2 linked regions of the Schizosaccharomyces pombe genome follow. The protein of the gene in region 1 binds, or shares a complex with, the protein of each later gene. Each region holds a gene or a part of one and is shown in the gene's direction. Other genes may lie near its edges. The genes, in order: mis18 and mis19.

What was found.
Region 2: mis18 (region 1) and mis19 share a complex: the UniProt entries of both Schizosaccharomyces pombe proteins name them as parts of the CENP-A recruiting complex.

What each region holds. Positions count from the first base shown.
Region 1 is NC_003421.2:513,094-516,807, reverse strand, and holds mis18 (kinetochore protein Mis18), read left to right. Parts: upstream 1-2,000; 5' UTR 2,001-2,037; coding exon 2,038-2,191; exon of another isoform or gene 2,192-2,236; coding exon 2,237-2,297; exon of another isoform or gene 2,298-2,344; coding exon 2,345-2,431; exon of another isoform or gene 2,432-2,479; coding exon 2,480-2,515; exon of another isoform or gene 2,516-2,556; coding exon 2,557-2,641; exon of another isoform or gene 2,642-2,697; intron 2,698-2,715; coding exon 2,716-2,877; downstream 2,878-3,714. Other genes in the region: rad16 (DNA repair endonuclease XPF), read left to right, coding at 1-206, 256-604, 644-971, 1,014-1,139, 1,185-1,445, 1,486-1,902; dcw1 (mannan endo-1,6-alpha-mannosidase), read left to right, coding at 3,268-3,480, 3,527-3,714. UniProt on the Schizosaccharomyces pombe protein: Component of the CENP-A recruiting complex that ensures the integrity of mitotic spindles through maintenance of kinetochore factors mis6/CENP-I and cnp1/CENP-A. Maintains the deacetylated state of histones specifically in the central core of the centromeres.
Region 2 is NC_003423.3:1,322,162-1,325,211, forward strand, and holds mis19 (protein Mis19), read left to right. Parts: upstream 1-1,569; coding exon 1,570-1,908; 3' UTR 1,909-2,213; downstream 2,214-3,050. Other genes in the region: ERMES complex subunit Mmm1, read right to left, coding at 1-134, 298-939; C-5 sterol desaturase Erg32, read right to left, coding at 2,314-3,050. UniProt on the Schizosaccharomyces pombe protein: Component of the CENP-A recruiting complex that ensures the integrity of mitotic spindles through maintenance of kinetochore factors mis6/CENP-I and cnp1/CENP-A.

The sequences.
Region 1 (3,714 bases):
CCCATCTAATGCACAACCTTCTCCTTGGCTTATGTTGGATGCCGCCAATAAAATGATCCGTGTCGCTAGAGACCGAGTATACAAAGAATCAGAAGGACCGAATATGGATGCGATTCCCATTTTGGAGGAACAGCCGAAATGGTCTGTCTTGCAAGACGTATTAAACGAAGTGTGTCATGAAACAATGTTAGCAGATACAGATGCAGGTATAAAAAAAACTCTCTTTAAAGGAAGAAATATTAACAAATCTTTCAGAAACATCCAATAATTCGATAATGATTATGTGCGCAGATGAGCGTACTTGTTTACAGTTACGTGATTATTTGAGTACGGTGACTTACGACAATAAAGACTCTTTGAAAAATATGAATAGCAAATTAGTGGACTATTTTCAATGGAGAGAACAATATAGAAAGATGAGTAAATCAATCAAGAAACCAGAGCCTTCCAAGGAGCGAGAGGCTTCTAATACAACGTCTAGAAAAGGTGTTCCACCTTCAAAGAGAAGAAGGGTAAGAGGTGGAAACAATGCCACTTCACGCACAACTTCTGATAATACAGATGCGAATGATTCTTTTAGTAGGGATTTACGCCTAGAGAAAATGTACGCTAATTATTAGGTTTTACACGCTAATAAGTCTAGTCTGCTCTCACACTTATCCAAACGTTATGAACCTGAAGTGGGCAATGATGCATTTGAAGTTATTGATGATTTCAATTCCATCTATATCTATTCCTACAATGGTGAAAGAGATGAGTTAGTATTAAATAATTTAAGACCTCGGTACGTTATTATGTTCGATTCTGATCCCAATTTTATTCGAAGAGTCGAGGTTTACAAAGCTACATATCCCAAAAGATCTCTAAGGGTTTATTTTATGTACTATGGAGGATCGATTGAGGAGCAAAAATATCTTTTTTCTGTAAGGAGAGAGAAAGATTCATTCTCTCGTCTTATTAAAGAACGATCTGTAAGTTATTCTAAACTTTTCAAAACTTGCTAATCTAAAAAGAATATGGCTATCGTACTGACGGCTGATTCCGAAAGGTTCGAAAGCCAAGAGTCAAAGTTTTTAAGAAATGTCAATACTCGTATAGCTGGAGGAGGACAGTTATCGATCACAAATGAGAAACCTAGGGTACGTTCATTATATCTTATGTTTATATGTATTAAAACGTTAAAGGTTATCGTTGACTTGAGGGAATTCCGTAGTTCGTTACCTTCCATATTACATGGAAATAATTTTTCTGTTATCCCTTGCCAACTCTTAGTGGGAGATTATATATTATCACCAAAGATCTGTGTTGAAAGGAAGTCAATTAGAGATTTGATCCAATCATTAAGCAATGGCCGTCTTTATTCCCAATGTGAAGCTATGACTGAATATTATGAAATTCCAGTTTTGTTAATTGAATTCGAACAACACCAATCTTTTACATCTCCAGTAAGTCTGACTAAAACAATCTATGTCTGACAGCTTTTAGCCTTTCTCCGACCTTTCAAGCGAAATTGGAAAAAATGATGTTCAATCTAAACTGGTACTGTTAACATTATCGTTTCCCAACTTAAGGATTGTTTGGTCTTCTAGTGCCTACGTTACATCAATTATTTTTCAAGATTTGAAAGCCATGGAACAAGAACCAGATCCTGCTTCAGCTGCCTCTATAGGTTTGGAAGCTGGGCAAGACTCAACGAATACTTATAATCAAGCTCCACTCGACCTGCTAATGGGACTCCCATACATAACTATGAAAAACTACAGAAATGTGTTTTATGGAGGCGTGAAAGATATTCAAGAAGCTTCCGAAACCTCAGAAAGAAAATGGTCAGAACTAATTGGCCCCGAAGCAGGAAGGCGTCTTTATTCCTTCTTCCGAAAACAGTTAAAGGACTATGAGTAATTTATTTTTTTATAATTTTGTAATATATTTAATTTTTGCTTCTACATCTGATATATATTGGTTCACCATATATAGAATGTTAAGCGCACCTAATTAATAACGACTACTACTAGATAAAATGAACTTTCCATAAGTATGTCCCAGACGGAAACTAGTCATTCGGGCTATATTGATTTTAAAAAAGAGTCACAACCTAGCGTCTTCCAATGTAAAAAATGTTTTCAAATAGTTGGTGATTCTAATGCTTGGGTTATTTCTCATCGAGAATATCTTAGTTTCACTTTGAGTGGTATGTGGTAAAAGAAATGTCCATGTAATTAATTATTTCATTTAGATGCAGTAGAAAATAGTGTACGCGTTGAGGATACGTTTAAAAGGAGTGATGATGGTCTTTGGTATGTTGCATGTGTTGCTCGCCAGTTTACTAATACAAAAATTATAGCGTCTATTCAGAGTTGAGTTGTACTAGATGCAATGAAGTGATTGGGAAGGTGTATAATTCTACACCTATATATCTTGATGATATTAGGTATGTCTAGTCGTACTTGGTTGACCAAATTTTAACAAAATCATGTAGAGATATGTATACTTTTTCAATGGACAAATTACAAGCGTAAGTTCATGATTTCATCTTAGTTACTAACCCCAGTGAAGCTACCAACTAGGTAATAAGACCGTAAATCCTGAAGGCCTTACACGGTATCAAGTTGATTTAGAAATGAGAGAGGACATTATAAAGGCATGTACAGTGATTCTTTATATAGTAGAGAAAAATAAACTTTAAGAAGAATAAATTACTAATTTTATTTGTAGTTGAAGTCCTTTTGTCTCTCTCTATATGAAAAGTTCGAACTTCACGATGAAACTTTACGCTCAGTTAAGGAGACAATATCCAGTTTAAAAAAACCGAAAATTGAGGGAAAGGAAGGTAAAAAAGAAAAGGCAAGAACATACTCTAAACGAACGAGGAAATAAGTCCACCGCTAGAAAGTACTGGGATACCATGTACAAACTGTTATATTCAAACAGTTAAAATTGCGGTTAAAACAAAAAGACACAATTTAAATAATACCTTTTTGATGTATTTTTTCTAAGGTTTTCCTTCTTGCTCATTGTGATATGCATGGGGCTGTCGGTCTCACGAATAAATGTGAGAGTATTTTCATTGAAAGGCTTAAGAATTTTATAGAAGATAGATTGCGTTAAGTTATATTTTTTCCCTACCTTTGGTCGTTCGTTGTTTACTGTTTAGATTATTTCTATCAGTCATTAATGAGTCATCATTGAATCATATGAAGGGCGACAGTCATCTGGATACATATGGGAATCTTCAAAGATACTACTCTATTTAATCCTTCTTTTTCAATGAGTCTTACAATCTTTATTTCACTTGCAACTATTTTGTTTTCCTTCGCTGAAGCCATTTCGGTGGATTTGAATGACACGTCCTCCGTTGACTTAGCCACTTCTTTAGTAGCTGATGGATTATTGAATTATTATGCTGGTCAGCACAAAGGAGGAACTATCGGGATGTTCCTTCCTCCAGCCTACTGGTGGGAAGCCGGGGCTGCTTGGAATGTACGTTGAGCTTAAAAGTATAATTTATTAACAACAATGGCTTTAGGGACTTTTAAATAGATACATTGCCACTGGTAATAGTACATATAACGAGTTGGTAAAGACCAGCATGTTGTACCAATCTGGAGAGGATTCAGATTATATGCCTTCGAATTATACAACATCTGAGGGAAATGACGATCAGGCATTTTGGGGTCTGACCGTTATATCTGCCGCTGAAGCAAACTTTTCAAA
Region 2 (3,050 bases), on another chromosome or scaffold:
GGAATGTCTTGAAGCTTTGACCTAGCTCCCACAAGAGAACTTACTTGTAGCGAGATCACGAAATTGGGGTCAAATGACAAGTTCATATATGCAGGCTGGCCTGCACCATTGCTTGGGGAAAAATAAATCATAATCTAGGACAAATGTTAGAAAAGACCGTTATTAAAAGACGAAAAAAAATAGTCTATCGTAGAATACCACTGTGATACGATTTAACACTTGATGTTTCAAACCCCCGGGGGAGGGGTGTAAAGAATCGTAGAGACTATATACTATTAAGGTTGTAAATAGACTTACCTTTCCGACAAATTTACAAATCCTAACTGTAATGGACAATGGTAAGGTTGCAAACGCAGGCTTTGGAAAATTAAGTAAAAGCTTTGTGTCAACGGTGCAATTAATATTGTCAGTCAGAGAAACAAGCATCTCCGCTCGAAGCTGTGAGGAATTATGCTGATGAGGTAGAACCCGACAATGACTGAAAACCGGAAATCCGTCTCCAAGCGATAAATCTCGCACGTAAATATGATCAACCATAGACTTGTCTTGAGCACCTTTGTTGAGAACAGTTTCAAGTTTTCTCAGGGCAACATCGTTGGAACATGCATCATAGCGAAACTGTATGAGAGCTTGTGCTATTAGTACATTAAACCAATCCAATGATTCCGGCTCATGTTCATTAACATCGTAAAGCAGATTGAGTATATGAGGTTCAAGGATAGTAAGAGGCTTTTTGTACCTTTTTTTGTTATTACTTAAAGGAGTTGAAGGAGTCTCGTCAGGTGTTTCATTCCCCGTTTGTTTTGGAGAGTTTGCTACAGACTTTGGAATTGGACTACAAAATAAAAAGAACCGCAAAAACACATAAATAATGGCCAGTGTCAACAATTGTCCAACTATTAGTCCTTGTGTAAAACTCCCCTGCGGCAGGTGTATCATTTTTGTTCATAAATATACTAAAATACCTCGAATTCGCTAATCCCGAGAATCAAAACCGTAAACGGAAAAATTAGTCTTCGCTCTACAAGAAGAGTATAAATTAAACGTCTCAAATACAAGAGTTAACTGCTTAGTAAGTTGAGGCTTTCTGTAATATATATATATATTTTTTTTTTTTCTTTCTTGTAGGTGGTCTACGTAGCATTTGCAATTACAGAGTTCATTGAGCCTATTTGTTTGAGTCCAAAACCGAAATCAACTAATTAAACTAATGGACTTCAATTAAAAAAGATTATTAGTAAATTCATTAAATAACATGATTTGTTTGAGAAAAGCAACTAATTATATCAAATTATTGACTTTAGATATATAAATCCTTTATGATAATATATATTACATTATGAAATTATAAGAGAATATTACTTTCTTGTACTCTTCACATGTGTATGGCATGCTCATACTCAAGGGTAGGAAATACACTAGTACGCGTTTTACTCTTCCAAAAGGAGTATTAGTTAAAGTATCTTTAATAAACGACAATAATTAGTTATTCTTTCTTTCGTATATTAACGGACTACCTAATTTTCGAAAGTTTCTCCGTCTGTGATATTTTATTAAAATGTTAAGCAAATGGATTTAATGCCGTTAGAAAAAGCAAGAGCAATTGAGATTGCATTTGATAATGTGTTTCATAATACAAAAATTCCGGACAATTTGCAGCAATTTGACGCCATATTGAAACGACTGGAAAGACGGAGATTTATACCAACGGAAAATCAGAAACCAAGAGTGTACGAAACAGAGCTACTTGTACTGCGATTTCGCGAATTTGGGGTGAAAGACAACCATAATCATCCAATAAATCTTCATTCTCTTCGGTCAAAAAGCTTAATCAGGGCACAAGGTAAAAAACTTGATTTACATAATCGAGTATTTCTAAGAAGAAATGTTAGAGCAGTAAAAATGTGATTAGTACCTTTTATACGATAATTTTGATGCATTAGTAACTTACCCAATGTGAACTTTACTGAACTTTATACACAACTTACTACAGAAAAGACTCAATCACTACATGTTACGCATATTTTTAAAGCGTTAATTTTCTATCAAAAACAAAACTGTAAGCGTTCATAACTTCTTTTCAACCCAAATTCACGTTTACATGAATTAAAGTCATAATTCAGCAATATTTTCCATTTTAGCAAAAAAAATCGATATGAGTAGCTTTAACAACACGGTGAAAAAATACCAAAAATAATAATTCTATATAAATCAAATCAAAAGCGGTTTTATTTCAGCTTCTCTCTCAAAAGACAAGCTAGAACATAAAACAAAAGAGAGGGGAGTGTATCAAATAATAAATCTTAAAGTGAATTAGTTATCCTTCTTGCTGGCATAAGTGCGATCATCTTTACCCTCAACGGTGTATTGAACTGTCTCCATAAAGCGAATGCGCTGCTCTTGCAATTTCTCATTGCGAAGTTCGGCGTCAAATAATTCTTGGTCTGGTTGACGATATGAACTGCAAAGACGATCAAACAAGGTGAAAAACTGACCATAATTGTAATTAAAGTACATATGGTGAGCAGCGTGATGAGCAGCACCATTTACGACAGCGTTGTTAGAAAAGTATTTGCCGTCGTGGATGAGTACGGTCCAATAATTTACTGATCCAAAAAGCAATAAGTAAACATACTTATTTAAGGGAAAGAAAAAGGGAAACATATGATATGGAAGGGATTGACTGTATCCATCAAGATAATGAAAAGCGTGAGAAGAGTAAGGAGTTGGAACAATCCATTTGTGATGAAGCTTATGCAAAGGAGCGTAAAGCCAACGATGATGCAAAGCGCGGTGAATCCAGTAAATCAAAAAATCAGAAAATAGAAGGAAAAGCGCGATGGAAAAGAAAAGATAAAAGTAACCATATTCATCAAGCTTATCATAAACATAACCATATCCACGAATTTCAGCAAGAAACCAAGGAGCTGTCAGAATAGCCATACCGGGTAGATTTTTTAAAGCAACCATCAATTCCAGATGCTCCTGATTTTTTAAAAATTTAGGGTGCCTTCTGGCCTCCTCTCGATCAAAGTACACATAATATGCAA